3 linked regions of the Arabidopsis thaliana genome follow. The protein of the gene in region 3 purifies or fractionates together with the protein of the main gene of each other region. This does not show direct contact. Each region holds a gene or a part of one and is shown on either strand. Other genes may lie near its edges.

Region 1 (9,912 bases), on a different chromosome or scaffold from region 3:
ACTCATGAGAGTGGTCGTTTTCTTGAAGAAACAATAGAAAAGCTAAATGGACCCATTTATGATCCTGTCTCTTTTTTTAATAGAATGTCTGCTCCTTTTTTCTCAAAGACCGGATTACCGGATTAGAGAATTCTCATATAGTATATGTGGGTTTGTATCCGAGTGGTGACACAACGCCGATTCTAACACAAATCATTCGGATACATCATACATGTTTTGGTCGAATATAACACAAACCATTAGGACACAACAATAGTTTAAACACAAGTCATTAGCCATGATGTAATATAATTTAGGCAAAACTTTTCAATAAGTGTCAGTTTCATTCTTATAATTATAATCCGGTATATGTATATTCAAGTATTGATCTCTTCATACATAGCTTAAATCAATTAATAAATGCGGCTACAAGCCAATCATTTAACCATTTAGAAGTTAAATTAAATGGAGTAAAATAATCAAATAATCATCTTGAGAAATAATTTTTTCAAAAACAAAATTCCAAATTGCGTAAAGCTCTTCTCTATATAAACCCTTTCCCCTCAATCCATCTATCATCATTACATCTTTTCTTGCCCTAAAAGTAAGTATAAATACACTAAAAAGCTCCCAATAAGATGTGTAATAACAATAACACAAGTTGTGTCAACATCTCAAGTATGCTTCAGCCTGAGGACATTTTCTCCCGTCGTTGCATCTGGGTGAATGGGCCTGTCATCGTCGGTGCTGGCCCATCAGGCCTAGCTGTCGCCGCCGACCTGAAACGCCAAGAAGTTCCGTTTGTAATCCTCGAGCGAGCTAACTGCATAGCTTCTCTGTGGCAAAACAGAACCTATGATCGTCTCAAGCTTCATCTCCCAAAGCAATTCTGTCAATTACCCAATTTACCCTTCCCCGAGGATATCCCGGAGTATCCAACGAAGTACCAGTTTATTGAGTACCTTGAGTCCTACGCTACCCACTTTGATCTCCGCCCCAAGTTCAATGAGACGGTCCAATCAGCTAAATATGACAAGAGGTTTGGGCTGTGGCGGGTCCAGACTGTTTTGAGAAGCGAGCTGCTCGGTTATTGTGAGTTCGAGTATATATGCAGGTGGCTCGTGGTGGCGACGGGAGAGAATGCTGAGAAAGTGGTGCCGGAGTTTGAGGGTTTAGAAGATTTTGGTGGTGATGTTCTTCACGCTGGAGATTATAAATCCGGCGAGAGGTACCGCGGAAAACGAGTTCTCGTAGTTGGATGTGGAAACTCAGGCATGGAAGTCTCTCTTGATCTATGCAATCATGATGCGAGCCCATCAATGGTCGTTCGAAGCTCCGTAAGTAAAATTCAGTAAATTATACCCACCAAGTTACGAAAAACAGAGCACCCTGATTCTTAGTAGCTCCTCTGTTTAAAACAGAGCATCTGATAGTTATACTCTGTTTTTCCTTGTTCGATCAGGTTCATGTATTACCGAGAGAAGTTCTTGGGAAGTCGACGTTCGAGTTAAGTGTAACAATGATGAAATGGATGCCGGTTTGGCTCGTGGACAAGACTCTTCTCGTTCTCACAAGGTTACTTCTAGGGAACACCGATAAGTATGGGCTCAAGAGGCCTGAAATTGGACCGTTAGAGCTGAAGAACACCGCAGGTAAAACTCCCGTGCTAGACATCGGAGCCATTTCAATGATCAAATCAGGAAAGATCAAAATCGTAGCGGGAATAGCTAAGTTTGGTCCGGGAAAGGTCGAACTCGTGGATGGTCGAGTTCTGCAGATTGATTCAGTGATTCTTGCCACTGGTTACAGAAGCAATGTCCCTTCATGGCTTAAGGTAGACAAAAGTATTATCTTTTTCAGATTTTTGTCTCAAAAGATAACATTTTATAGGACCATAGAATACCGGTATTGATAGTTATGGGAAGTTTGATAAAAACTAAGACGTTGATTGGTGATTGATTTATTGTTATGCAGGAAAACGACTTGGGTGAGATTGGGATAGAGAAAAACCCATTTCCAAAAGGGTGGAAAGGGAAGGCTGGATTGTATGCGGTGGGATTCACCGGAAGAGGACTCTCAGGTGCATCGTTCGATGCAATGAGTGTAGCTCATGACATTGCCAATAGCTGGAAAGAAGAAACTAAGCAACAGATCAAAACTGTCGCTACTCGCCACCGTCGTTGTATTTCACACTTTTGATTTTCACTGTTTATACGAAAACATATATGAGAAGAGGTAAAAAAGAGAGGATCGATAGTGTTATGTGATGTGAAAATCAAAGAGATAAGCCCACTCCATGAGAGTATAACTGTGAAATGTGTTTGAGCTTATTTTCTTGTAAGGAGGATGTGGCTCCATGTATTTAACGTATTCTTTAACATTCCAACTTATCTTTTGTTAGCAAATGTGTTTGATTAGAGCTGATCTAGAAAGTTTAAAACATGATTAGTTTAAACAAAATATATGAACATGTGTCTGAAACTGATTTCGTCATTGACAGAAATAAGTGAATGAGGGAAAAATACCGAAAACATTCCTCCGTACCGTACCAGCAATACATGAACTGTGTATGTATCATTTCTCTTATTATACGATGGAAATATAGAGACAACAAACATCAAGGTTCTAAAATGCTTAAACAAACATTCATTCATCATCATCAAAAGGAGCCATTGAAATTTTACCAGACATCAGGACGAAGCTCTCCGGTAGCTGGAGGCATCCAACGACCAGAATTGTACACGTTTTCACCGACTTTCCATCCAGGAACATCCTTCATCACATCCGCCTCGTATTCTAGATACTTCTTCCACTCAGACACAAACCTATTTACAAATCAACACGTGGTGATCCAATGTGAGAGTTTGTACCACACAAGCAAACATAACTTCTTTTGTGAATCCTACCTTTCATCTTCTTCAGCTTGAAGAATCGGTAGAATTGCTCTACGTGCAGCGTACTTCTCTTCCTTCAACGCCCTATCATCACAGCAATCTTCATTAAAACTTTGGAGTTGATACATTGTGCTCATTTTGACACTTTTGTCATCATTATGCAATTGAGAGTCTAACAATAGAAGACTATTAGAGAATGTCACTTACACACACCAAGAAAGATAACACTGTGTTGTCTTATTCGTTGCAAATTACTCCAAATCGACACTAATCAAGCTAAATAACTCACAATGTGACCATCTAAAAACCAATATGCAACTAACCACTAGTATATCATCTTGCAATTTGATTGCTTTCTTCATCACAGCTCAAGAGATCGTTAATTAGTAACCAATTTCGAGACTAACCACACAAATTTATAAGCATCAATCCCAAATTGTCTTAAGATTCAATCCCAAATTACTCAAAATTTCACAATAGAGAAAAGCCTAACCAAACTCAAATTCCACATCTCATTATCTAATTACCTGCGGATTTTGTTGCCCTGACCAACTTGGTACATGCCCCAAGCAAAAGCACCGGAAACGGTAAGGAAAATAGCCATGGCGCTAGGTCCCGTGTTGGAGATCCGGCGAGCATATCGGACCGGCGCGAATCCACCAGGTGGTGGACCATCCTGAAGCAACGGCATATCCTTCACACTCGCCATTCCTGGCTTCTTCCTTATCATCGCCTCCGTCATCTTCTTCCTCGATTGATCCCCAAATCGATCTTTGATTCGTTAATCAGTGTGTGTTCTAGGGATTCTGAGAAAGACAATCAGAAATGAAATGAAATGAAAAATCTTTTTTTTGGTGACTTTTTTTTTAAAATGTTGTAATAATGAACTGGGCTTTAAAAGGCCCATATTAAAATAGTACCGGGTCAAAACTCGAACCGGATCCAAAACCGGAGGCTAAAACTCGACCAAGCAATGATGAGCTTGGAGAAAACGTAAAACCCTAAACCCTACTGCTTATAGAATCTTCGACGATCTGCTTCATTTCTCCTCATCTACGAGTGAGAGAATTTGTCAATTTAGCTTCTTTAGTTCGGTCTGATCTGAATTAATTGCAATCTTCTCGGTTGTGTGAGAGAATCAATCACCATGTATCGGCTTGTCTCCAACGTTGCTTCCAAAGCTAGGTAGATCTATTCGACTTTTTGGTTTTCTTTGTGTATATGATTCCAATGCTGCTTTATTTTCTGTGAATTTGTTTCTGATTGGATCCTCGAAATCGGAAAGTTGCGAGAAACTGTTGGGAATTGAATCGGATTTTGATCGGATTGAATTGAATATTTCTCTGCCATTGGAGAGTTTAGCATCTTCTATTTTCTTTGTATTTCTGGAAGTTGCTTCATTTATTGATGGGATTTATTTTTCTTTGTTTCAACAGGATTGCCAGAAAGTGTACAAGCCAGGTTCGTGTTCTTCATTTTGTATCTAATTTGTGGTTTAGCCGTTTGTGGGTATGTATTGATGTGAATTTGTGTATTGTTAGATTGGAAGCAGGCTCAATTCTACTAGGAATTATGCAGCAAAAGACATAAGGTTCGGTGTTGAAGCTCGGGCTTTAATGCTTAGGGGTGTTGAGGATCTTGCTGATGCAGTTAAAGTCACTATGGGACCCAAGGTATAAACTTATGTTTCAGATAATTTCTGTGTAAGAGACTTGTATTGTAAGTGAATCTAGTTAAAAATAGATAACGTGACGACCTATTGACAAGTATCAACAATCGTCTGTTTTGTTACCCTCACACTCTCTGATACTACATGTCTAAAACCATTTTTGAAGGGTCGTAATGTCATCATCGAACAAAGCTGGGGTGCACCAAAGGTGACAAAGGATGGTGTGACTGTTGCCAAGAGCATTGAGTTCAAGGATAGAATTAAGAACGTTGGTGCCAGTCTTGTGAAACAGGTTGCTAACGCCACAAATGACGTAGCTGGTGATGGTAAGTGTTCCCTTTCAATGGATTAAAACGTTTTTTCTGTTTTTGCTAATTGGGTTGTTAGTCTCCTATCTACTCATATTAATCGGTGTTTTTGTATCTGACAAAATATATGGTATGCGTTACAGGAACAACGTGTGCCACAGTCCTTACTAGAGCTATCTTCACGGAAGGTTGTAAATCAGTTGCCGCTGGAATGAATGCAATGGACCTAAGACGTGGTATCAAATTGGCAGTTGATACTGTTGTGACGAACTTGCAGAGCCGAGCACGCATGATTAGCACCTCTGAAGAAATCGCCCAAGTTGGAACAATATCAGCTAATGGAGATAGGGAAATTGGTGAACTGATTGCAAAGGCTATGGAAACTGTCGGCAAAGAGGGAGTGATCACAATTCAAGTGAGTTGAATTTTATCCCTAAATGTCAAATTATTTTGCTTATTCCTTAAGGTGACCAATGTTATCATCTCTTGATTCAGGATGGCAAGACCTTGTTTAATGAGCTGGAAGTTGTTGAGGGTATGAAGATTGACAGGGGATACATCTCCCCGTACTTCATAACTAACCCGAAAACACAAAAATGTGTAAGGATTCCCACCTTGTTACTTTATCAATTTAAGGAATTGCGGATTTAATTTGCTCTGAATGAATATGTGTTGCAGGAACTAGAAGATCCTCTCATTCTTATCCACGAGAAGAAAATTTCCAATATAAACGCAATGGTGAAAGTATTAGAACTGGCCCTCAAGGTATAAACAATTTGGCGATTTCTTCACTGTCAATAGTGTCTGATATTCATTAAGTTACTTTGATCTGAAGATCGAAATTTATTTTCACTGCCATTTTTCAGAAGCAAAGGCCGCTGCTGATCGTTGCTGAGGATGTGGAGAGCGATGCTCTTGCCACCCTAATTCTGAACAAACTTCGTGCTAATATCAAGGTTTTTCTTTTCAGCCTTTTGTTATTTGCCTTTTCCTTACAACGTCTTAGTAAAAAATTAATTTGATTGGATTGATGTACATGGTATTGCTTTATAGGTCTGTGCTGTGAAGGCCCCTGGTTTTGGAGAGAACCGAAAGGCCAATTTACATGATCTAGCTGCCCTCACTGGAGCCCAGGCATGCCCATGTTTCTTTTTATAATAACTGCCAAGACCATCACACCCACACTAATCGGATGAGCCATAATGTGTCTTTGGTGATTTCACTTTGTAGGTAATAACAGAAGAGTTGGGTATGAATCTAGACAACATTGACCTCAGTATGTTTGGAAACTGCAAGAAGGTTCGTTTGGTCCAATTCCTTCTGCTTTCTCTCTTTCTCCCTTGTACCTTCTGATAACTTGGTTTTCATTTGTTAACAGGTAACGGTATCCAAAGATGATACTGTTGTTCTCGATGGGGCTGGTGACAAGCAAGCAATTGGGGAACGATGTGAACAGGTTAGCGTGTTTTTCGCTTTTTTATCATTTAGTGGTTCAGTGTCATATACCTTTGCCCTTTTTTCCAACTGGTAGTTTTAATATGTTTTGAATTTTTATTAAACCACGCAGATACGATCCATGGTTGAAGCAAGCACTTCTGATTATGACAAGGAGAAGTTGCAAGAAAGGTTGGCTAAGCTTTCGGGTGGTGTTGCTGTACTAAAGGTAATGTACACCTCTTGTGAACATCAGACTAATAGGCTATTAATGCATTATTAGTTTATTACTAATGTCGAGATTACTCATATGGGTTTTTAGATTGGAGGAGCAAGTGAGACAGAAGTTAGTGAAAAGAAAGATAGAGTAACGGATGCTCTAAATGCCACTAAAGCAGCCGTAGAGGAGGGTATTGTTCCAGGTATAATCTATCCCAAATCTAAAACAAAATTTGGTTGAATCCCTTAAGAAAATTGCGTGAGAAGAGAATTATATTACTTTGTGTGTATTACAGGTGGTGGTGTTGCTCTTTTGTATGCTTCGAAAGAACTTGAGAAGCTTTCCACAGCTAACTTTGATCAGAAAATTGGTGTTCAAATCATTCAAAACGCACTCAAGGTGTTTCTCTCATCACATTGTTCATCCTCGCTAGCATAAACAGCTTCTAGAATCTTACACACAAAATCTTTCTTTGATGCAGACACCTGTTTACACGATTGCTTCCAATGCTGGAGTCGAGGGTGCAGTTGTCGTAGGCAAGCTTTTGGAACAAGATAATCCTGACCTTGGTTATGATGCTGCTAAAGGTTACACTCTTATATGCATTAGATAATTCACTTTCTATAGTTCTTGATCCACCTTGTTATATATTTCCCTATATTCCGAAATCTGAACTAGCTTCTTTTGGCATTTACTTTCAGGAGAATATGTGGACATGATAAAGGCTGGTATTATCGATCCTTTGAAAGTGATCAGAACCGCATTAGTTGATGCTGCAAGGTACACAAAGATTGAAAATTGGTTGTCCAATTTTGTATTTTATTGCAATGTTTTGCTAATTTATTCTATTGGTTAGTGTTTCGTCTTTGTTGACAACGACGGAAGCAGTTGTGACTGAGATTCCAACGAAAGAGGTAGCATCTCCGGGTATGGGCGGTGGTGGCATGGGCGGCATGGGTGGCATGGGCGGTATGGGAGGAATGGGTTTCTGAGGAGAACTATAAACCCTGAGTAGGGTTCTTTGGAATCTGTTGTGAGAGATGCTACGGTTGGTTCATCCACAAGACACTAATGTATTCTTTAATCATGATTGGTAGAGAGAGACCTTCAGATTTTCCGTGATTTTCAATTCACAAACGATTTATAAACTATTTTGAAGAAGATCCTTTTCCGATTCATGCAAATTTCTTCCAAAAATAATTCAGATTAGAGAGTTCAGTGAAACATCAAGTAGGTTGTGTTTGCGCATATGGAGGAGATTCCTTAGTTCTCGCCAACTATCACCAAACCCTTATATCTTATTAACACGATATTTAGCTGTTTATTTATATGTGGTTCAAGTAACAGACTACTTATTTCAAATAAAAAATGGAAAAAGCTTTTTTCATAGAACGAAACAAACGATATAGTGTAGTTTAAAGTATGTTACCCGAAAAAGAAAGCAAATCTACTTAACACGGTCCACAATTCGCGTGGTGAAGAAGGTTATAATTGGGTCCCAAAACATTCATTTCCCCCCAAAAAAAGTCATAATTATGAACCAAACTCTTTTTGTCTTCACGTCTTTGTCCGTTCCATAACCATAGCTTGCCCTACTTATTATAGCAGTAAGCCATAATCAAGGAAACCGTATTTGTATGTAACTTAATATTGTGGATTGATTACAGCTTGGAGGGAATTGATTCAATTTGGCCAGTTGGTCAAACGCAATGGTATAAGTCCACCGAACTAGATGGCAAAAACAAAAACAATTTGAGAATGTTCTTAAAAGTTCCAGTTCAAATGTGTTGTAAATAGTCAAATTCCTTTTACGAACGATATAAAAGTAGTCAAATAGAGATAGGGAATAAAGAAAAATACTTATCTAGATGATGAATTAGCTTAACGAGAAAACTATTAGTATCTGTTTTGGCAAGAAAATTTTATGTCTCGGTTGATTACACACACTTTTTAGTTAAACTACAAGTAATCAATCATAGATTTTACTTTAAGAAAGTTCCACAAACACGACGTGGCTGTCCATTATAACATAACCTCGTGGTCATGGAATGTTTCGTCTTATTTTATTTTTAATATTACACAATGTTCAAAGTTCTCAATTAGCAAGTTTCATGTGGTGTGATGAAAATCATTAACCATAAAAACCAACACTCAAGCGGAAATCCAACTCTCTTAAATTAAAATAATTCACTCAAAATTTTATTTTCATTTGGAGATAAAAATATAAATTGGTCAAAAGCAAAATAAAGATAGAGGTCATCAAATCGTACGGCTAGAAACAGAAGTGCACAGAGTTATTACGATGAAAACGTTACACAGAATCATTTTCATACACCAAAAGCTCTTTCTTTTTGTATTTTAAATCGAGTTTCGAACCGCTCTGCTTCTTCTTTACTCTCTGCGTGATTATCGTGTGAGAACATTGAACTCACACTTCAACTCTCAAGCTTCTTCTTCCTTCGCCTTCTTCTCATTCATTTGCTTCTGTGTCTAATTTTACATAGCGAAATTCCAGCCATAGCCAAAAAAAAAAGGGTCAGATTTTTTAAACGGATTTTTTTCTCTCTCTCTCAATTACTGATAATGAGTCTAATTGAGAGTTTCTCTTTTGACCTGTTGTTCTTGTTCTTGTCTTTAGATTCTAGGGATGTTCTTAAAGTCTTGGTTGATTACATTATGATCCTTCTAGAGTTTGTTCTGTGTCATCAATCTAAACCAAATCGCTCATATTCTTACAGAATAAAAGAATTGATTTAGACACTTTTTAGAATTTTGTATACATTGGATCAAGTAGCATTCAAAAAATAATTACTGTTCTCTACATTTTCAGTACTTACAGGTTCTTTAATTTCAGTTTCTTGTAGGTTTTGGCAATGAATGGATCAGCGGAAGCTACACGGACAAGACCATTGCAGATCAGTCCCGGTGATTTAGAGGCTGCTCATCTAGATGAACTCATAATGGAAATAGAACAGAGGAGTCTCTATTATTACCAAGAGAAAAACAAGTCCTTGAGAGCTCGTTATACCTACGGAACCATTTTCTTGATCATAAATCTATGCGCTTGGTTTATCCGTGACTACGCACAAAAGGCTCTGGCCTTGCTTCCATGTATTTTTTTCATAAATCTTTTGAGATATATCTAATGTTGAAGTTAAAGATACTTTAAGTTGAAATCATCATTGCAGATGTCAGCAGTTGTGGACCAGAAGGAAGTCGTTGTTTCCATACGCTTGGAGTACTCCGCGTGAGTTTAGGATGTTTCGTATCCTGAAATATCAAATCTTTTGCTGATAGAGTCATACTTTTAAGTAATTTGGTATGTTATATAGTTTATCCTTAGCAATGAAGATATTTTACTTTGTTATGTTCCTCTCAACATGGAACACAATGAAACTCCACGAAGCT
Region 2 (10,694 bases), on a different chromosome or scaffold from region 3:
GTAATGTAACAGTAATTGATGAAGTTGTGACCGAGGAAACGAAAGCTGAGACCACCGAGAAAGAAGAAGAAGGAGAAGAAGAGGAGGAAAGTAAACCAAAAGAGATAACAAAATCTGATGTTTTACTTGTCGAAACTCGAGCACTGGAAGAATTTCCCAAACCTTCTGAACTAAAAAAAGGGATGGCAATGGAAGTAATCTCTGAAGGAGTGGTAATCCCCACAAAAGCTGCTGGTCCTAGTAATGTAACACTAAGTGATGAGGTTGTGACTGAGAAAGCAAAAGCTGAGACCACTGCAAGCAACACTGATGCAAATGTCCAGAGTCCTGAGTCCAAAGAAACTCCAGAGAATTCGGTGGAAACTATTGCAGAGCAAAAAGGAAAGTAGGAGAAGAAGACGAAGTCCAACCCTTCAAGCTCGAGTTCAAGCTCAAGCTCTAGTTCGAGTGACTCAGATTGAAAATTAAAGGGTAATACATCATCTCAAACTCAAGTAAATATATCTTTGTTAAAGGGTAATGATAGGCACTTCTGGGTTTTGTTTTTTTTCATCTGTGTCCTCTGTTTTAAAAGGGGCAAGAAGTAGCCGCTAATCATATTTTTATACCAAGTTTTCTCCTTCCTTTGTATTGGTTTTCTTGTGTGTTTGTGTTTCCTTTTCTCTTCTTTCTTCAGCTTTCATATTTATCGATTTGATTGATTTGTATCTCTTGAAACCAGAGAGGTTTTCTCAGGGTTTTGGATTGTGTCTTTAAATACTTTTCTCGCATCTTTTTTGGGGGGTTTGTTATTTGTATTGGACCTGAGAAATGGGAAAGGTACTGCCGTTTGGATTTTTCTATGAACATTGTAATATAATGGACTCGATCGAAGATGGTAACACCGTTCAGATTACAAATAGTTTTTGGTGGTTCATATTTAGTTGTAAATCTCTTATTAACATGAAGCATTGCCTCTCTTTTTTTTTTTGGTAAAAGATGAACTTGTGTTTGAGATTTTATGTAAATAAAGTATCCAAGTATATTCATATAAATCACCAACTTTTGATTCAAAGCATAATGTGTGTGTATACAGTTTTTATTGTTTCACATGTCTAAAAGCATGCCTTTCCATAGTTTAATCATAAAGTTTTATAAGCCAGCAATAAGAATACTTTTGGATCTTGTGATTCGTGTATCATATGATTACCAAACTCAAGATGCCAAAAAAGGTTGGTAAACAAGTATTTTATTGATCCAATAATTTGTTATACTAATACACATACGATTTAGTTCAATAATTCCTAAAGAAAAGTTTTTTTGTTTGTTTTTCATTTGGATTGTTAAAGTATTCAATTCTTTATGTCGTACAACAAGTAAATAGAAAGAAAAAAATAGAGTGCGAGTTTCACTTTCAATAAATGCTTGTGTGATTATCTTTATTTGTGTACATACTAGATCTACATCCACCGACAAACCAGTGTCGAGGAAGCATATGCAACTGTCCTGCAGATTTAAAGTCTCATGTAATTAAATGTTGTTCAATTTGTTTGTTGTGTGATTACCAGTTTGATGTATAGTTAAAGTTACCAAGTAATAAAATCATCAAACATACATATAGTACTAATTTTTTGTTTATCACATAAACATTTTGTTGACTTTTTGGTGTTGTTTGCAATAGCATCTTCTTGATAAATTCCTAGTGAACTCAAAATTGACCTACACCAGTTCCATACAAATAGAAAGATACTCCAAAACTAGTTGTGGAAGTGGTTGAATATAATTTTATATTCCAAACTTAGAAAATTCATGTTAAATTCCGCAAAAGAGCTTATAACGTAGTTTATGCACGATATGGTTAAACTTCCTCAGTTGCTATAGAGTTAAAAAAAAACAAATATTTTGAAATTGGTAACTAGTACGTGAAATTTTTTAATGCAGACTGAAAGAACAAAATAAAACTTAAAATATGTTTACAAAAAAATATTCTTTCATGATTTACGCAAACCAAAAGTTACATTTAAGGTTAGGAAAGAAAAAATGACCTAGGAAATTAAAACAATGAGGTTCGTTGATAAAGGTCAAGAATCAAAGTTTGGTAGCCAAATTACCAGCAAACAAAAAAAGATTAAGACCATTAATCCATCGCGTATACTCATTGTCTTATGAATCTTAAACAATAATATTATATTATATACAGTAGGTCCATAATTTATGTTTCTTTACCTACTCTATTTACCAAAAACATACATAGTTTTTATCTGACTTACACAAGTGTACTAATGGCCAGACAAGATTGTTACTTGTTCAAGTAAAATTGTGTTACCAGATATTCAACTTTCTATATATACATATAGATTTGACAACTATTCGACTTTCTATATTTAACTGAAAGAGTTGTATCACTGAAATTTGGAGTATTGTTCCCTGTAAATAATTCGATTTGTTTCCAAAACGCTATGGAACAGGCCTTGATTTTGATACTCTTTCGTGCTGACACTTGAAACGGCGTCGTATCAATAATAGAAGAAAACCTTACTGTGGAAATAATCAAATTGTGAATCTCCACCAACCTCAATGGGTCCCATTGCCACCCACTAATCTCCCCACGTACACCAACTCCCCTTCACGTTTTAATCTCTTAATATACTTTTATTATAAGTTAATTAAATGATTTCAACCTTAGTAATACTAACCATTAATTATTCATTTCTAATCTCCAATATTTTTTTTGAAAAACCTTTCTGTTCAGATATTTTCGTCAATTAATCAAGATCTCATTCATAAATTAAAAAAAAAAACAAAATTCAAGCTAAAAATACATACCCAACAAAAATTCCTTAAAAAAATTACTTATGGGGCATCTGGTAATTTAATTTTCCTATAAAAGATGGCAATATTAATTCAGTTTTTTTTTTTAATTTACCAATATGATACTTTAATTATATTTCTTACTTGTTAGCTCTACTAATGCACACATACTTATTTCTACGAATATAAGAAAAAAATACTGAACTCAAACAATAGACAAAAAAGAAATAATCCTACACTCAAGTGTGTTGAAAAATAACATCAAATTCAGAGAAAATGCACATACACCAATAATATAAATAAATAGGGATATTTAAAATAATAAATAAAATTGCGAAAATATCGAGCACCACCAGATCTACAGAAATGACACAGAGCCCAACGATGATGTATCTCGTTTATTTTCGCTATAAATAAACTCACACAGCCCACTCTTCTTCCTCGCTCTCTCTTTCGCCTTCTCTTAGCCTACCCTTTTTCCTTCCTCCTCTCCGATTCTTCCTCCGTCAGGTTCGTCTCCGACTTTCTATGTCTTCCTTACGTCTCTCTTATTTAGCTCCCTTTCCTTCCTTCTCCACGTTATTATTACTACTTCGCTTTTAGTGTGATTCGTTTCATTCTCGTTTTTTTATATTCCTCGATCTGTTTGCTCATTTGTTGAGATCTATTCGCTATGTGAGTTCATTTGACTCAGATCTGGATATTTCGTGTTGTTCGATTTATAGATCTGGTTTCTGGATCTGTTTACGATCTATCGTCATCTTTCCTTTGAAAATGATTGGTGTTTCTGTGTTCGTATTCGTTTAGATCTAAAGTTTTTGATCGATGAATGTCGCATGTGTTTTTATCTGAAAGTTTTCGATTACAGTATCAAGTGGTGGTAGTAGTAGTAGTAGACTCAAAAAGCTGCACAAACTTTTTATACACGTGAATTGTGATTGCTTTACGGTTTTCTTGGAGTTTGTTAATTAAATCATTTAATATTAAGAAGTTTATGAATTAAGAGAACGTTATTTTATACTATGATTTTGATTTTGATTTGGTTTGTGTGTTTTAATGCAGTAAAAGAAAATCAAAATGGCTTCACACATTGTTGGATACCCACGTATGGGCCCTAAGAGAGAGCTCAAGTTTGCATTGGAATCTTTCTGGGATGGTAAGAGCACTGCTGAGGATCTTCAGAAGGTGTCTGCTGATCTCAGGTCATCCATCTGGAAACAGATGTCTGCCGCTGGGACTAAGTTCATCCCTAGCAACACCTTTGCTCACTACGACCAGGTTCTTGACACCACCGCCATGCTCGGTGCTGTTCCACCTAGGTATGGATACACTGGTGGTGAGATCGGCCTTGATGTTTACTTCTCCATGGCTAGAGGAAATGCCTCTGTGCCTGCCATGGAAATGACCAAGTGGTTCGACACCAACTAGTGAGTCTTCATTGATCTCTTGTGTTCTTTTTGTTGACATTGGTCTTTTTGAGTTGTGGACTAATTTGATTATGCTTTTGTTGATGCAGCCATTACATCGTCCCTGAGTTGGGCCCTGAGGTTAACTTCTCTTACGCATCCCACAAGGCGGTGAATGAGTACAAGGAGGCCAAGGCTGTACGTATCATTCTTTACTAATATCCGTTTCTTAGGAAATTACTGTTTGCTCGTCTAATTAACTATTAGAGATCATAGGCTTTAGTTTGAGGATATAGTGTTTAAGCTTAGATTCATTGAGTGGTGTTTCACTGAGGATGCTAATATGCTAGGAAGGTCTCGGATGCATTGAATATAAAAACCGTTAGAAAAGTCATCTGGCACTGGTTGTCTAAAGTAGTTTTTTTTTCTACGAAGTTCTGATCTGGTTTACTTGATGTTTATGCAGCTTGGTGTTGACACCGTCCCTGTACTTGTTGGCCCAGTCTCTTACTTGCTGCTTTCCAAGGCTGCCAAGGGTGTTGACAAGTCATTCGAACTTCTTTCTCTTCTCCCTAAGATTCTCCCGATCTACAAGTAAGAAATCACTTTATTGTTTTTCTTTATTATGCCATCCGTATCCTTGATGTTATCAATGATCCTCTGACATACCACTGATATAATGACTTTGATTTGTGTACAGGGAAGTGATTACCGAGCTTAAGGCTGCTGGTGCCACCTGGATTCAGCTTGACGAGCCTGTCCTTGTTATGGATCTTGAGGGTCAGAAACTCCAGGCCTTTACTGGTGCCTATGCTGAACTTGAATCAACTCTTTCTGGTTTGAATGTTCTTGTCGAGACCTACTTCGCTGATATCCCTGCTGAGGCATACAAGACCCTAACCTCATTGAAGGGTGTGACTGCCTTTGGATTTGATTTGGTTCGTGGCACCAAGACCCTTGATTTGGTCAAGGCAGGTTTCCCTGAGGGAAAGTACCTCTTTGCTGGTGTTGTTGATGGAAGGAACATCTGGGCCAACGACTTTGCTGCGTCCCTAAGCACCTTGCAGGCACTTGAAGGCATTGTTGGTAAAGGTAATTGTTCTTCCAAAATCATCTGCCTTTTACCTGACATTACTAGGGAATTATTGAAAAACAACTGTATGAAATGTTGATCTGTTGTCTTTTTGATGCAGACAAGCTTGTGGTCTCAACCTCCTGCTCTCTTCTCCACACCGCTGTTGATCTTATCAATGAGACTAAGCTTGATGATGAAATCAAGTCATGGTTGGCGTTTGCTGCCCAGAAGGTCGTTGAAGTGAACGCTTTGGCCAAGGCTTTGGCTGGTCAGAAGGACGAGGTATTTTACCCACATGCTCCCCTAGTAGTGGACCCTTGAATTATCTGTAGTGTAATTGATCCAGAAAAATCTAGAACTCAATATTTTTTTTCTTTCAGGCTCTTTTCTCTGCCAATGCTGCGGCTTTGGCTTCAAGGAGATCTTCCCCAAGAGTCACCAACGAGGGTGTCCAGAAGGCTGTAAGTTTGATTTCAAACTGATGCACTGTGCTCACCCAATGGTTTATTTTCCTAATCTTGTATTGATTGAGATAGTTTCTCATTCTTGTTATCTCAGGCTGCTGCTTTGAAGGGATCTGACCACCGTCGTGCAACCAATGTTAGTGCTAGGCTAGATGCTCAGCAGAAGAAGCTCAATCTCCCAATCCTACCAACCACAACCATTGGATCCTTCCCACAGACTGTAGAGCTCAGGAGAGTTCGTCGTGAGTACAAGGCCAAAAAGTTAGTCTCCTAAATTTAATCCTTGGGCTTATGCGTCACACATTTTCTTAAATTGTTGTGATGCTAATGGTTTCTTTAATCTCTCTTTTACTAGGGTCTCAGAGGAGGACTACGTTAAAGCCATCAAGGAAGAGATCAAGAAAGTTGTTGACCTCCAAGAGGAACTTGACATCGATGTTCTTGTCCACGGAGAGCCAGAGGTGAATTTTTTTTATTATTCTATGTTTTTGCCTGATATTTCTAGTAATCCTTGGTACTGTTTCTGATGAGACATGTTTTCACAATTTTGTAGAGAAACGACATGGTTGAGTACTTTGGTGAGCAGTTGTCTGGTTTTGCCTTCACTGCAAACGGATGGGTCCAATCTTATGGATCTCGCTGTGTGAAGCCACCAGTTATCTATGGTGATGTGAGCCGTCCCAAGGCAATGACCGTCTTCTGGTCCGCAATGGCTCAGAGCATGACCTCTCGCCCAATGAAGGGTATGCTTACTGGTCCCGTCACCATTCTCAACTGGTCCTTTGTCAGGAACGACCAGCCCAGGTACATAATGTTACTATAATCTAAAAACAAACATAAACACCAAATAAAGAACAAAACACTAAGACAATCTTGGAATCATTGTAGGCACGAAACCTGTTACCAGATCGCTTTGGCCATCAAGGACGAAGTCGAGGATCTTGAGAAAGGTGGAATCGGTGTCATTCAGATTGATGAGGCTGCACTTAGAGAAGGACTACCACTCAGGAAATCCGAGCATGCTTTCTACTTGGACTGGGCCGTCCACTCCTTCAGAATCACCAACTGTGGAGTCCAAGACAGCACCCAGGTTTGCTTAAATAAAAACTACACATAACGAGTCTCATGTAGTGTAATGCTTTCTCAGTTGCTCATAACTTATGTGTTTCTGGTGTTTTTTTTTTGCAGATCCACACTCACATGTGCTACTCCCACTTCAATGACATCATACACTCCATCATCGACATGGATGCTGATGTCATCACCATTGAGAACTCCAGGTCTGATGAGAAGCTTCTTTCCGTGTTCCGTGAAGGAGTGAAGTACGGTGCTGGAATCGGTCCAGGAGTCTACGACATCCACTCTCCAAGAATACCATCTTCTGAGGAAATCGCAGACAGGGTCAACAAGATGCTTGCTGTCCTAGAGCAGAACATCCTTTGGGTTAACCCTGACTGTGGTCTCAAGACCCGTAAGTACACCGAGGTCAAGCCTGCACTCAAGAACATGGTTGATGCGGCTAAGCTCATCCGCTCCCAGCTCGCCAGTGCCAAGTGAAGAAAAGCTTGATTTGAACAAGGAAACGTTTTTTTTTCTCTAAAATGGTTGTGTTTTATTTGGTTTAATAACTTTCTTAAAAATATTTTTAGTCGAAGGTAGATTTGATGCATATGGTTTCTTTCTTGTTGAGAGAGAGAAAGGCTATAGCATCCTTTGGATTTGATGCAATGTTTGTGATTTTCTTTTTGTCTCCAATATATTTCTCTGATGGAATGTCTTTTTTCTAAAGTATCTTGAAAAGGAATAAGAGGATTGATTCTTATACAAATACTTTTGTTTGCGTTGTCCTAAACTCACTACTTTTTTTTATCCGACGCAATCAGTGCTTTGTAGCCTGTTCTTGAAGTAGGCCCCTTTGTATGTCTCTATCTGGCTCCTGTATCAGATTGTTGTTTCCCTTAGATTTCTTTATTTCGTTGGCAAAAAGAAAATCTGAATTGCCCCACAAAGAGCGTGGTGGCTGATGTTAGGTTGCAGTCTCATGGTCCACCACTTTAGACTCGAAGATTTATTTCGCTTGGAGAACATCTTCGTTGATGTTTATGTATCATTTGAACTGTAGACTGTAGCCAAGTAGAAGGTTTTAACTCTGTAAAATCTGAGATGTTGTATGTTCTCAAGTTTTATCTCAGTAATTCAAGTCTCTTTGAGTTCAAATAAGAAAAAGATTGTAGCTCGGTCTCGAAGAAAAGTTCTTGCTCATTTGCAGTTTTTAATATTATTTTTCTCTCTAAGATTGTGTGAAAATAACCTAGTTAGTAAACCAAATTCAATTAGTGTAAAAGAACCTCAACCTTTTAAGATCGTTTTCAGTAAATTTTTATTGAAGATGGTGAATGATAAAAATCTTACAAAGTAGAAACTTTAATTAAATTAGAAGATAGTGTGTACAACAAAAAGAGACTTCAAAATTGTTGGTGGCAACAACAGGATCACATGAGTAATCCTTCTGCATTGTTAAGTGCTTCTTTAGCTTTCCTGAATTTCCCATAGATTGCCTTGTTATTTTTCACAACATATTCCTTCACAAAGAACTTGATGCCATCTCGTAGAGCTTCATATTCCGGATTCAAGGCTATGCGTGTGAACAAGTTCCACACAAGATTCTCAGGGTGCTCAAAGATGGCCTCGAACAGCATTCGAAAGTGCATGATTCGTTTTGGAGTTAACTCCACTGGATTTGCTAAGTCAACGGATTTGAGAACAGCAAGAGAAAGATTGAAGGTTACAATAATCTCTGCCACGAATTTCGCCAGATGCATCGATCTCTGAAGTGACATCGACTCTAGTTCTTTAAAATGGTCCCAAATGCAATACTGCAGGAAAAAAAACACAAGAGATGATAAGAGAAAAAAGAATGGTTACATAACCATGGCTTCGGTTCTATTAGATAGTAAAAACGTACCTGCAGTGTAAACTTATGATTTTTGTCGTGCTCGCACAACTTTGAAGCAAGGACTGTGTAGAACTTGTTGAATGCTTTCTCCTGTAAACAGCATTCAACTAGAACCCTCATGATCTCTCTGTCCTGTTTTCCTGGCAAATCCAATCTAAGAAGTTTCTCGAATGCATCGATGTAGTCCTCACTACTCATGATCACACAAAATATTGCTTTTCTGGAATCTGTATTCATCCTCTGTGCCTCAGCTAGCTTTAACATTTTTTGGGCCTCAACAACCTCTGCATCCATTGTTTCTGCTATATCTTCAGCGGTGTTTGAGTCAACCACCAAATCGCCAGAAAGCCACCACTGACCCTTCTTCTCGGGGTCAAGCAGCTTGCTCCATGTAAGCCCTCTTAATAACACTTCTTCTACTCTCAACTGGGTAAATTATAAAAAAAACGGACAAAAACAAATGCATTTTAGTCAAAACTTACTAATCCAAAAGCCACCTAATAAGCAGAAGCATACATGTTTATAATTGTCATGATGGAATCCATTTTATAACATTTCGAGGAATAGAGCGCTAAAATATTACCTTTTGAAGCCACTTCTTTACCCTTGTGTTCTGGACGGAATCCTCTTTGGCTCTCAACTTGTTGTTCTTTATTGCGGAAATGGTTTCAAGCATCTTTTCCATCTGCAAATTCATTGAACAAACAACTTTAAAAAAATCATAGTATAACATTTTCTTCCCGAAGACAATTTTTCATAGAATTCATACCATCATGTTATTCATTTGTGTCTGGCCATCGGAGGAGGTTTTCAATTCATTTGCCTTGTTCTGGATGCTGATGATGAATGTTTTCATAGCCAGAGGATCATCACTTCTTATTTTCATTCCACAGCCTATTCAGAGCATTATCAAGAACTGAGAGACGGAACATAAACATCTCAAAACACCTAAAGCAGCTATCGAAAGATAATAATGATAATAATAAAACTTACAATCTAAAACAGTGGTGATAGTGAAAGCATCAACTTTAGTCAGCCGTTTCCCCAATGTCATTAAGAAATCATATATAAGATCACTGCAAAACAAATATAGAGAGATTCATATTTCATCCAAAGAAAATAACAGAAAAATATCATTTTTGTTTCTGTTACGTGAGCGGACTAGTGATTGGGTTGGGTGATGAGTAAAAACATATTAAACATATCGCTGTAGGAAAAACTAAAATCCATAATACATGACAATCACTCAATATCTGTAAAAGGTCAAGAGAATCCATTTCCACAAGATTCTGATTAAAATGTGTGTTGGGATTATCGGTCTAACAACCTGATAATTAAACAGCGTTCTTGGTTCAGTTCTAGAAATTTCAAGACAGTGAGGAATAACTAAACTTGCTCTAGACCAAAATGAACAAATATGTAGCTGCAGATTATCTTACCTGGAGCAAACTCCCAATATGCAAAGATAAGAAAGCAAAAGAGAAATCCCATTTAAAGAGAGACTGTCTTCCTTCTGATATTCATCCTGAAAATAAATTAAGGACTTGTTAGTAGTGCACTATTTCAAGCAAGGTGGTGAAAAGATACTATAGACAACAAAATCTTAAGGACATAACTGGATCTTCTCGAGAATTTAGCTTACAATTCATGTAGGAAAAACTCAGGGACATACCTCGAAAGATTTAGCAAGTGATGCAATTAGCTTTGCACTAAAATCCATTCCAACTAGACACGCCATGCCGGCTATGAAAGAAGCAAATACAGCGTACCTTTACAAGGAAAAAATAATGTTCAGCAATATATTGACTAATAAGGGCGTCAATGTAGTCATGTAGTTCCACACATGACTATAGGGCTAGCATTAACATGAGCGGACAATCAGAAAGTTGTACAGATCTTAACTGTTCATTGCCTCTCGCATAAGTTGTCAAAACCTCTTCACAGAAAATCTGAGAGGACACACTTCTCGCAACAGACTGCATTAACAAATGTTACAGGGTTAC
Region 3 (11,398 bases):
TAGGAGTTGGAATTTGACAATGGTTTGCTTCAATCGCAGGAATGTCTCCACTGAAATCAAAACCTCCATCTCTTGTGAGCTCATGTCTTGGTGTTATTGGGAAGCATTTGGAGGATATGATTCGTTGTTTAGCTGAAATCTCTGTTATATTTCCTGCAGACATCAAGGTTAATTGTGGTTTCAGTGTTTTCTTCTTTCAAGCTGTTTAGTACTATATCCATTTGCTAATCAAAGGCATACTCATGTGCAACAGATGTCGATTGCAGCAATTGCTAGAAGAAAAAAGCTGCTGGATGATGATGTGATTATCTGTTTGGCTGACAGTTCCTGGGAAATTCTAGATGTTAGCGGTTCAGATGTTACGAATTTTGGCTTAGCTAAAGTGGCAGAAATCTGCAAATCTCTCCGAGCTGTGGACATTAGGTATTATAGTTGCTTGCTAAGAATTTAGTATGCTTTCTCTATGTTTTCTGTATAAGCTGTTTCCTTTGAGATGGGAACAAGATAAGCTAGCCACACATATGTCTGATTGTGTTGGGTATCGTTTGAGTTTTGCAACCTGGGATAGTTTATTTACTTGTAGCTCTGGTCTTGCTGGTTCTTTAGTTTGGGGCTTCTGTATGTTGGATAAGTGGTGCTCGTTAGCTCTCAAGTATCATATAATTTGCCTTATTTTGTTATGCAGCCGGTGCAACAAAATCTCATCCATGGGCGTCTTAGAGCTTGTACAACACTGCAGATCATTGGAGACTCTTAGATGCGGGTATATTTTACTTCTCTAGCTAACTGCAGTGAACTGGCTTTTAGTGTGTTGTTGTTGGGGTGGCTTGTCTTTTTGTTTATGACTTAGTAAGTGATCATTTGGGTAAAGTAAGATAGAATTGAACCCAGTGTGTGGGTTTGCCTAGGGCTACCAAACTTTATAAAACAGGCAATGAGAGAAAATTTAATATTGCAGGGGATGCCCAAGCAGTGAGTCCACGGCACGCAGATCTTTGAGTATTTTTAAGCCAAACTTGAGTAATGTTGAAGGAGAAACATGGGAAGAAATAGACACTTCAGAGATTGGCCATGGTGGTCAATCATTGCGTTGGCTTGTTTGGGTATGTATCGTCCCTCTGACAGACTGACTAATAAGCTACCAGTAAACAAAAGAATCTACTTTCTCCATCTGTGTCTCTTGCCACTCAGTGTACTCATTTAATTTGCTTTTTCTGCAGCCACGAATTGATAAGGATTCACTGGAGATGTTATCCTCGGAGTGTCCAAGAATAGTGGTAAATCCCAAGCCATCACTTGTCGCGTACAGAGCAGACGAGGTTCCTCGAGAAGCACTACCAGATGTTGCACTGGACGAACCATTTGTCAAAGATATTGATCCTAAGACGTGGGTTGTTACTGGAGTTGTGCAGAAGCCCACATCTTTCCCGTTAAGCAATGAACTGTCAATAGCAGAGAAGTTCAGACTAGCATTTGCAGAGAGAGATGCAAGAATGGCCCCTAAACGTGCAAAGAATGCAAGGCAACGTCAACGTCGTGCTGAGAGGGATTGGATGATGTCAAGCGACGAAGCCAAAGCAATGGTTTTTGCATCAAAGGCTACCAGATCTTTGCACAAGAGTTAACAATATGGATTCTCTTCATAAAATGTATGACAAAGAAAATATAGGAGGAAGATGAGTGGATTTCTAAGAATGCATGCCTCTTTTCTCTACTGTGGTCAAGTTCAATCAGTTTACAGCAGTTTCTGGGGAGCAAAAGTGAATAGAGTGGCTGGTTAGAGAAAAGTGTTTGTAACAGTTTAATCTTGTTTCCAGGTCTTTCAATTGATGCTACGGTCAAAGATACGTTAAACTGTTTATAAAATGAAGTGTGTATTTTTGCATTTTCTTATAGCAACTCTTGCCAACAAAGGTTTAGTGTAACCTGAAAGAAAAAAGATGCTCACAAAACTTGCTTTATTGGGATCTTAACATAAGAAGAAAACAAAAGGCGAAAAACACTTTGAGATCACTTGGCGCTCAAACTCCGGATGACGTATGGTAGAATACCGCCGTGATCATAGTATGCCAATTCCACCTGTGCACGTCCCCACAAAAACAAGTCTCAGATCAAATGAAGTTTTGATTTTACTGAATTTGTTTGCTATATAACCAGTTTACCTCTGTATCAAAACGCAGGGTGCAGACAAAGGATTTGCCACTGTCAGTGGTTACAGTGACGTCTTGACCGGGTCTAATGTCACTAACTTTTGTAGGAAGGTGGACTGTGTAGCGTTCATGACCAGTGAGTCCAAGGGTTTCCGCGTCCTCCCCAGCCTTGAAACACAGAGGAATGATCCCCATACCAGCCAGGTTGCTGCGATGGATTCTCTCAAAGCTCTTGGCAATTACAGCTTTCACTCCCTAATTTGTGCTTAACTGTTACGATCACAAGACATAGCCACAATCTGACAACTGTTGTAAACAATGTAAAGCTTACCAAAAGCAAGGGACCCTTTGCAGCCCAATCCCGAGAGCTACCACTTCCATACTCAGCACCAGCCAGGATGATCGTATCCTGTTCAGCGGTCTTGTATTTCTGAAAGCATATGTGAAATGAGTTAGGGACTTAAAGAAGGATCTATATATATGTGTTGAAGCTGTCTGACGATTCAACTTACACTTGCTGCATCGAAAACGCTAAGCTTCTCTCCAGTCGGAATGTGAACAGTGTTGGGGCCAACTTCTCCTTTCAAGAGCTTGTTAACAATACGGATATTGGCAAATGTACCACGAGCCATAACCTCGTCGTTTCCCCTTCGACTTCCATATGAGTTGAAATCTTCCGAAATCACACCACGGTCCATTAGAAACTTTGCAGCAGGACTAGTTTTTTGAATGTTTCCTGCTGGAGAGATGTGGTCTGTTGTTACACTGTCCCCAAAGTTCAACAAGCAGTAAGCATCCTTCACTTCACGAGGACCAGGTGGATTTGCGGTCATATTCTTGAAATACGGAGGTTCATGAATGTACGTGGAGTTTGGATCCCAAGAATATAACGTGGAACTCGGTGCAGAGAGTTCATTCCACAAGGGGTTTCCCTCTGTTATTGTTTCGTACGAGCTCTTGAACATGCTTGGTAGCACGCTATATTGAACAACCTATGGAAGAGTATCAGGAATGTTAGCAAGGAACATTTAAAAGTGAATAGCTTATCCTCTAAGCATGTCACCAATGTACCTGAGCAACTTCCTCATTGCTTGGCCATACATCCCTCAGGTACACACTTTTTCCATCACTTCTGGTTCCTATAGGCTCTTTCTCAAAATCAATGTCCACCTGTAATCGTAGAGATCAATATATAGAAACAAATTCAAGATTGATGAGACTACTTAGCGAATAACTACTCAATCTTGTTGGTGATGAACTATGATGCCACACCAATTAAGGATATCCAAAGTTGGAAAGTACAAACCGTTCCAGCAAGGGCATAAGCAACAACTAATGGTGGTGACGCAAGATAGTTTGCTCTTGTTTGTGGATGAACACGACCTTCAAAGTTTCGGTTTCCAGACAGCACAGCAGCTGGGATGATATCTGTGACACGGAGGAAGCACAATGGACCAACCAAAAAGTGAGCTTCAGTCTGACGATATAGGGGCACTAATTTATTGGTGGAGAAACACAATTGACGAGGATTCCAGATGAAAAGAAAATGAAAATGGCAGAAGGAGATGCTAAGAGAACAAAAAAAAAACATGTTCTGACAATTTTAGAGTATGTTGGTATTGATGAAGATGTTGTTACCAGTTCCTTCTATAGCAGATGCAACTTCTGGGTCAAGGTTGCCAGAATTCCCAATGCATGTTGTGCAGCCGTAGCCGACAATTTCGAATCCTTGCTTGGTCAAGGACTCTCGGAGCCCACTGCAGAGAAAGTAAACGTTCAGTATGTATGTTCCGTGATCAGATAAGATATCCAGATGGAAACAGCGTTGACTCCAACAGACCTTCGATCCAAATATTTCTCGACAACTCTAGACCCTGGAGCAAGACTTGTCTTAACCCATGGTTTTACCTGAATTGAAACGTCACTTACAGTAAAAACAGGATTCAGAACCCAGTGATCTCAGGGAAAAGAGAAAAGGTGGAAACTCACCTTCAGGCCAAGATCTGAAGCTTTTTTTGCAACGAGTGCTGCTCCGATCATGACACTAGGGTTTGACGTGTTTGTACAACTAGTAATTGCCGCAATAACAACACTACCATGCTTGATCTCAGCAGGTTGTCCGTTGTATGAGAACTTCACAACTTCTTCTTGTTTTTCTTTTGGCACTGCAAAACCCTTGAAACAAAAAGCAAAGTCTTACAACTTATCCAAAAAAAAAAAAACAAATCAACGTCATTGGTTGTTTAATGATTTTTGTTGTAAATACAACTTGCATCTCACCTTGAATCCAACAGGATTGTCAAGGCATGCATGCCAGTCAGCCTTCATATCTTTCAGAGGCACTCGGTCATGAGGCCTGTTGAACAGAAAATAAAGTAATTAGTGAAACCTTAGGGAGGTACGGCGATGGATCAGAAAGTTCTAAATATCAAAACGAAGTGAATATACCTTTTAGGACCAGAAATACATGGTTCAACATGTCCCAAATCTAACTGCAGATAAGATGTGTATGCTCTTTCTTGCTGAGGCTGCAATAATGTACAGATATTTGGAGTTGAGAATCTTGTCAAAATAAATAAAATACAGTAAACTGATTAAGAATGTCCATACCTCGTTGTAGTCAACAAACATATTGTTTGCGCGCAAATATGATTCTATCATTGACACCTAAATAAACCAAGTTGGCGATCATGTGAGTCACAGAAACCAGAGGAAACAGGATACGATACAGAAAAAATAGGCCACGTGATAATGCAAACTGTAGACCATAACAACCTAAGTCTACAGATAGCTCCTTAAAATGTCTTGAAACAGATTATGCAGCAATAGTCAGCCTCAGCACATGTAAACCACAAGTACCAGAACTTGAAACTTAAAGCACATTTTAGGCATGATGATTTACTTTACCAAAAAAGAAAGAATAAAAAAGTAGAGAAAGTGAGAGAGAGAGAGAGAGAGGATTCACAGTTTCATCGCTTCTTCCTGTCAACTTCAGGTACTCCAGTGTAACATGATCCACTGGGAAGAAACCCATAGTTGCTCCATACTCGGGAGACATATTTGCAATTGTGGCTCTATCAGCCAGTGAAAGTTCACTCATCCCCTCACCTTCGTATTGAAAGAAATAAGTTAAAACATGGATACTGACCAAATAATAGTCCATCAGAAATAAAAAGTTACGCAGCCATGGTTCTCACCATAAAATTCAACAAACTTGCCGACAACACCATGCTTCCTCAATATTTGGGTCACAGTGAGAACTAAATCAGTAGCAGTAACCCCTTCCTTCAACTTTCCATCCAACTTAAACCCGACCACGCCAGGTAACACCATGCTCATGGGCTGATAAGTTTTTGAAGTACCATATGACTAAGATGAGTGGCAAAGCAAATTTGACACTTACAAATAAAAAGTGAAGGTGTACAGACGAAATGAGCTCACCTGACCAAGCATTGCTGCCTCTGCCTCAATTCCTCCAACACCCCACCCAGCGACTCCTAATCCATCAATCATGGTTGTGTGGGAGTCGGTTCCAACAACGCTATCAGGGTAGAGAAATCCTTTCGAGTTGAAAACAACACGTCCAAGGTATTCCAAGTTGACCTGCAGTATTAAATAATAACAAGCTATCATAACAGAACCATTCGACAGCATTATGAAATTCATGCACCCCTTGAAATCTAGTAGTCTACCAAACAGATTAAACAGGCTAATACTCTAATCACACTTATGTTTCAGAAAACCTGTTCAAAATTTTCAACAAGGCAACCAGAATTTACTGTCATCACATGTTATCTTGTACCTGATGGACAATCCCAGACCCAGGAGGAACGACCAGCATGTTTTGGAAGGCTGTTGAACCCCACTTAAGGAACGTAAATCTTTCTTTGTTCCTTTTGAATTCAAGCTCCAAATTTTTCTGTGCGGCATCTTCTGACCTTGCAAAGTCAACTTGGATCGAGTGATCAACGACAAGATCAACAGGAACCTAGATATATACAGGTAAATATGAGAAGTGCTGGATTAAACATATTACAGCCGTAAAGCAATAAGAAACTTCACTAACCAAGGGGTTGATCTTGCTAGGATCACTACCAAGATTCTTCACTGCATCCCTCATAGAAGCAAGATCAACTAGAACTGGTACTCCAGTGAAGTCCTGGGCAAAAAAATACAAGTTAGCATATGCTGACTTAATCTGTACCAGTCTTAGAGGCCTGGAGGGGTTTTCAGTGTAGAAGTACAGAAAAAATATGCTACAAACCTGTAAGATAACACGGGCTGGCTTGAAGGCAATTTCAACCTGCTTAGTAGATGTATTCTCCCAGTCAAGGATTTTCTCAACGTCATCCTTTGTGACTTGATAGTTGTCACAGTTACGAATCGCTGATTCCAATAGTATCCTTACAGAAAATGGCAGCTTATCTGCATTATCACAAAAAGGTATTAACTTCACCAGAAATCCATTACATACAAAACAGATAGAGGCACGAGGAAACATACCAATTCTTGGATCGTTTAAAGCTGGTAACGAGTAGTACTTTCCATACTCTCCACCACCAGGTTTAGGAAGACTTGTCAAAATATCCTTGTAGGAATGCTCAGAAGCTGCGTTTTTCACATCAAACATTAAAATCATAATTCAATTGACACATAACACATGAATTTGCTTGTCCTTTTAGAATATACAAAAAAGAAATTTAGTAGACTAAATCTACAAATCATAAACCAAAATGCAAGAGCAAATCAAATGTTCATCTAGCTAGTTTTACTTTGAATCAGAACATATCAGAATCAGTAGATCATCATTTTAAAGCGAAAAATCGATCTAAGCAGATATGCGGTAAACACAGATTCTTGTCACACAAGTTAAGAGCAATCATTCTTAGAACGTCAGAGAAAGCAAACAGACATACCCATGGTTGCGTATTTCCGTTCAAATTTCTCCATAACCGGAGTGGAATTCCTAGCTTGAGCGCGAAGGCTAGCAGGCGATCCCCAGCTCCCACCATGGCTCCACCGCGTGGAAGCAGAGCAAACTCGAAAGGAGCGGAGAGCCGAGGAGAAACTCTTAGATCGGTTCGTCTGATTGCGAAGCGACGACGCAGATGGAGCCGAAACCGAAGCTGTCTCGCTAGAGGCGATCCTGGAGAGGGAAGAAGAAAGCCTTGCGGAGGCAGAACGCACGCCGGAAGTGGCGCGTCGATACATGGCGGCAAATCAAAATAGTTGAAGAGATTTGAGAAATCTCCAGAGGAAGGAAGAAGGATCAAAATGAAACACTAGAAAATGGGAGATTTGAGATTGGAAGAAGATCGTGGAATGGACGAGGGAAAGAGAGAGAGAGACGGAGAAGAGATTTCGTCAAGCTTCTGATAGAGGCGAATAAAACATTTTACAGAACCTTCCAAGGGCACACTCACTACTAATATACAATGGCCCAAGGCCACGTCAGGTATATTTCTTTTAACCGTTGGATGAAGTTCAGACGACCGAACGGACGGCTTATGATCCACTTTGGACCGTTGACTATTTTTTATTTGCATTTAATATTATTTGTTCTTGCAAATTATATAAGAACAGTAGAACACCTTATTATATAAACTATAAAGTTTACAGCTACAGACCAACGTGAGAACATTCGAATAATTGGCTTTTCGTCGAAAGATGAGAATATTTTCTTTTGCAGAAAGTAATTTTATATTCACAAACTAAAATGAGTAATTTATAACTACAGCCTAAACCAGAATAAAATTTAGAACTACACTTATTTTGGTAATACGAAGTTTTGATTGGGTTATGAGTCTGGCACAAGCCAAGTAGGATTTCTCCTCTGAAACATTAAAATAATTATTCTATGTATTTGTTTTTTCTTATATCCACTACCATCATGACATGAAAATGAATAACTGTTATTCAATCAAACTGTTTTATTCAAGTCAACGAAGAGAAACAAAAGGTAGCTAGGCTCCTCTTCAGCTATGAAGGACAAGGCAGGCTAAAAGTCTCAAGCATTATGCCAAGAGACAAACACCCTAAACAAAACAAAGTATAAGAAGATGGCTTCTCATTTTGACTCTTCTAAGTCCTCAATGACAGCGTGAAAGGACACAATTTTAGGGTCTTGAAAAGCTCTCTGGTCTTATGGCTCATCTGTAAGGCTCAAACCAATCGGTTGTGTAGAGTACAACAAACAAAATAATTGAATAGTATGTTGGTTTGTCATCTGCGTGAAGAGAGATGTGTTTAGGATGGTGGCTGCCATGTCCCGGGCCTAAATGATGATCCAGATCCTGATGGCTCTGTTGTCCTGCATCATCATCAACATCAACATTAACATTAGTTTAATTTAAAGCATACCAAACACAATACATAACTTATGTTCATAGAGAACAGTTTCAGCATAGTAGCAGTCTGTAACTATCAGAAAGAACGAGTCATGTTTCGTATCCGTGAGCTAGAATCTGAACTTTAGGATTAACAATGTCAAGTTGGCTAGACTTACTTTGGTTCGGGTGGTTCTGCAGAAACTATCTCGGGTTCATGTTCCTTGGCCCTGTAAAGCAATGTGAGAACATGTGGTTATGTTAGTCTTCTGAAAGATGTTGTGCTTTGCATCCAGGAAAAAATAGAATGTAAGAAGATTTAACACATATATGATTAGTGCGGAGATATTATGAATCATGATGACTCACCTTGATTTATCTGCTTCTTCACTAGCTTCCTCTGGTTCACCACCTTAAAGCATTAACAAAAAAAGGAAATAAACTTAACTGTCAGTCTTACTTCCACGACTTTATGGTCGAACCATAATCTCTTTTAAGGTTATAAGAAATCTAGCAACTGTAGTAACCTCAGCCCTTGAATCAACAAATGACTTAAACGATATATAATGGTGCATGAGAACAATTTTGTTGCCCTTTTAAGCTACCGCAATCATAATGGTTATATGGGGAACATTCAAAAGATGTTTCTTTCACAAAACTATTATAATCATCAGCCAATGGACACCATTTCATGGGTCAAACACCACAAAAATATAAACGCATATCCATCATAATCTCTATCAAATTTACACAAGGGATTCCTAAGAAGTTAGTCATCAGCATCTATGGTGACTCAATTAATCTATTGGCAGAGAAAATGTAATACCTTTTGAATCTGGTGGAAATTGGCGAACAAAGCTTGTCAAATCTGGACCATCAACTTTACCTTTACACAAGGAGACCGAACATTAAGCTACCAATTCATAAATGAAACAAATTTTCTGGGCTCTAATGTTAATTACCAATGGTGATTTTGCGTCCGGTGCCTACTCTGGCTTTCTTCTCCTCCTCTTCCTTCTTGAGAACTTGACAAGGAAATAAAGGCAAAAGAAAAACGATAAATGTTTTGCCTTGAACTTGAGCGACATATTAAATGGAAAATTTGCATACGGATTTCTTGACTTGCTAACACAGAAACAGAAATAATTCTTGACTTTGTTCATTCACAACTTCGAAGTTCATAAAATCAAGTCCTCAAAGTCATAAACTGTTTGCAGTAAGGATCAATGACACAAGGAAATAATAATTTTAAGACGTTTAAAAGGATATAAGTTTAGAAAATGTATTTATAAGCTGAAACACCTACGAGCAACATTAAGCTTTACACGCTCACGCCTTGCTTCAAGTTCAATCATTTCCTGAACCAATAACAAACACCAATATCAAAGGCCAAGCATAGCCAGTCTGTATGCAATGAAAAACTTCCATGGTAAGAACACTATGCTGACCACAAATAATTCTGGTTAAAAAGGAGTTTATCTTACCTCAGGAGTAGGAGCCCTTTTTCGCTGCCCATTCAGCCAACAAATCCATTCAACTACAACATTGATCAAACAAAAATGTAACTAGATTCGTGTATACATGCCATATATCTTATAGATGTGCTTATTTCAGATCTGACATCACTCAAGTAAATGAATATATGGTCGTATATAACAACCCATTTTATGTTTTAAAGAAGAGTTACCAGGAATAGAGGTTGGGTCCTCCTCTCGTCTAAACTTGACCCATCTTTTCTCCTTCACTGGATAGTAGAAAGAAGCACATCAGAATATATTACTCTACAAATGGATTCTACAAGAGTCTTAATATTCGTTTTGATCATCTAAATAACCTCTGTTAGTTTCATTTTACATGATCACACTTAGCTGAATCTTTTCATGTATGAAAAGAAGCAGACAATGTTCTTTAAAACAATACGATATTAATTTTTCTAAATCCATTTGCTTCACTGCAACTCGCGATATGCAAAGACAGCTGATTCATCAAATCGTACGGAGAAAACCAAAGAAATTCAGCAACTTGACAAATTTAAGAGATACATAAATTTCACGCAATAACCAAATTCCAACATAAATCAAACAAAAAAAAAGATTTTTTAAGGAAATAAGAGGTTGGAAGAACAATACTCGCCGAATCCGTCAATCTCCTCCATTCTGGAAAAGTACTTGTTACCAGTCTTGTCTACTCCGATAAAACTCTTGCTACTGAACAATCCCGCAAATCTCGCCCATAGCCTCGACATAGCTTCTCCCGCCGATTTCTTCTTCGTATGATCCAAAAACTCAAACACAACACACCCAGAAGAATGAATTGTTCCCCAATCGAGTCTGCTCCGTCCGGATCAAAAAGAATCCGACCCGGTAACGGGTATTTAATGTGGAAGAATATCCGACCCGATTAATCACCGGTTTAATTAAATGAACCAGGGATTGGAATACACCGGTTTAAGTTTCAGGATTAGCTGGTTATCGAACGTACGTATCGTATTCTTACTTATTCAAAACAAAACCTTAATTTTAATTTTCCCGCCTCTCGAATTCCCAATTCCAGTTTTCCCGCCTCTCCATCACACCCACTCCTTCCTTTACAAAGAGCCCCCCTTCGTTTCCCCAATCATCCTTTCTCAGGTCCCTCACAATCCTCTTCTACACCATGAAAGGAATCTCCAGATCGCCGGTGAGAAGAAACGACGGTTTCCATCGTTACATGAAACCAGGGGCTCTGGCTCAGATCCGTAACGCTAGAATCAACAACGCTAGATCCAATTTCCCCCTGACTCGTTCTCTCTCGGACCCAGTCGACCCGCCTTCATCATCTTCCGAGAGTCCTATTGCCGCGACGCCGCAGACGATAACTATGGATCAGATGCCCCATCTCTTGAGCAAGATCTACGGTCCGTATCGAATCGGTAGGAAGAAA

The links.
Region 1: the proteins of ACO2 (region 3) and HSP60-2 purify together in Arabidopsis thaliana (affinity purification with mass spectrometry, with the first as the bait; one large-scale study listed by BioGRID). This does not show direct contact.
Region 2: the proteins of ACO2 (region 3) and ATMS1 purify together in Arabidopsis thaliana (affinity purification with mass spectrometry, with the first as the bait; one large-scale study listed by BioGRID). This does not show direct contact.

What each region holds. Positions count from the first base shown.
Region 1 is NC_003071.7:14,072,677-14,082,588, reverse strand, and holds HSP60-2 (heat shock protein 60-2), read left to right. Parts: upstream 1-3,816; 5' UTR 3,817-4,020; coding exon 4,021-4,058; intron 4,059-4,309; coding exon 4,310-4,334; intron 4,335-4,414; coding exon 4,415-4,546; intron 4,547-4,708; coding exon 4,709-4,868; intron 4,869-4,993; coding exon 4,994-5,265; intron 5,266-5,345; coding exon 5,346-5,450; intron 5,451-5,528; coding exon 5,529-5,615; intron 5,616-5,716; coding exon 5,717-5,806; intron 5,807-5,903; coding exon 5,904-5,984; intron 5,985-6,080; coding exon 6,081-6,149; intron 6,150-6,228; coding exon 6,229-6,306; intron 6,307-6,417; coding exon 6,418-6,513; intron 6,514-6,606; coding exon 6,607-6,706; intron 6,707-6,799; coding exon 6,800-6,903; intron 6,904-6,985; coding exon 6,986-7,091; intron 7,092-7,205; coding exon 7,206-7,284; intron 7,285-7,360; coding exon 7,361-7,496; 3' UTR 7,497-7,822; downstream 7,823-9,912. Other genes in the region: YUC7 (YUCCA 7), read left to right, coding at 618-1,316, 1,442-1,813, 1,954-2,178; AT2G33220 (GRIM-19 protein), read right to left, coding at 2,088-2,184, 2,664-2,804, 2,886-2,957, 3,401-3,615; AT2G33205 (Serinc-domain containing serine and sphingolipid biosynthesis protein), read left to right, coding at 9,378-9,615, 9,693-9,769, 9,856-9,912. UniProt on the Arabidopsis thaliana protein: Implicated in mitochondrial protein import and macromolecular assembly. May facilitate the correct folding of imported proteins.
Region 2 is NC_003076.8:5,931,904-5,942,597, forward strand, and holds ATMS1 (Cobalamin-independent synthase family protein), read left to right. Parts: upstream 1-3,134; 5' UTR 3,135-3,300; exon of another isoform or gene 3,301-3,465; intron 3,466-3,852; 5' UTR 3,853-3,867; coding exon 3,868-4,217; intron 4,218-4,306; coding exon 4,307-4,394; intron 4,395-4,662; coding exon 4,663-4,790; intron 4,791-4,896; coding exon 4,897-5,288; intron 5,289-5,389; coding exon 5,390-5,553; intron 5,554-5,651; coding exon 5,652-5,732; intron 5,733-5,829; coding exon 5,830-5,996; intron 5,997-6,090; coding exon 6,091-6,196; intron 6,197-6,288; coding exon 6,289-6,539; intron 6,540-6,623; coding exon 6,624-6,825; intron 6,826-6,923; coding exon 6,924-7,292; 3' UTR 7,293-7,962; downstream 7,963-10,694. Other genes in the region: AT5G17910 (cardiomyopathy-associated protein), read left to right, coding at 1-389; AT5G17930 (MIF4G domain-containing protein / MA3 domain-containing protein), read right to left, coding at 8,228-8,611, 8,701-9,117, 9,275-9,376, 9,461-9,585, 9,685-9,767, 10,131-10,216, 10,364-10,460, 10,594-10,667.
Region 3 is NC_003075.7:13,539,040-13,550,437, reverse strand, and holds ACO2 (aconitase 2), read right to left. Parts: upstream 7,521-11,398; 5' UTR 7,362-7,520; coding exon 7,067-7,361; intron 6,759-7,066; coding exon 6,654-6,758; intron 6,576-6,653; coding exon 6,415-6,575; intron 6,310-6,414; coding exon 6,217-6,309; intron 6,139-6,216; coding exon 5,953-6,138; intron 5,754-5,952; coding exon 5,592-5,753; intron 5,493-5,591; coding exon 5,348-5,492; intron 5,259-5,347; coding exon 5,116-5,258; intron 4,818-5,115; coding exon 4,761-4,817; intron 4,679-4,760; coding exon 4,599-4,678; intron 4,507-4,598; coding exon 4,431-4,506; intron 4,326-4,430; coding exon 4,140-4,325; intron 4,059-4,139; coding exon 3,991-4,058; intron 3,908-3,990; coding exon 3,789-3,907; exon of another isoform or gene 3,579-3,788; coding exon 3,457-3,578; intron 3,321-3,456; coding exon 3,222-3,320; intron 3,143-3,221; coding exon 2,663-3,142; intron 2,581-2,662; coding exon 2,482-2,580; intron 2,406-2,481; coding exon 2,163-2,405; intron 2,080-2,162; and 3 more. Other genes in the region: AT4G26980 (RNI-like superfamily protein), read left to right, coding at 40-167, 254-423, 686-763, 959-1,103, 1,221-1,625; AT4G26965 (NADH:ubiquinone oxidoreductase, 17.2kDa subunit), read right to left, coding at 8,397-8,460, 8,656-8,706, 8,846-8,888, 9,303-9,362, 9,439-9,501, 9,783-9,834, 9,961-10,013, 10,164-10,220 and 1 more; AT4G26960 (uncharacterized protein), read left to right, coding at 10,785-10,846, 11,107-11,398. UniProt on the Arabidopsis thaliana protein: Catalyzes the isomerization of citrate to isocitrate via cis-aconitate. Contributes to oxidative stress tolerance. Involved in acetate assimilation.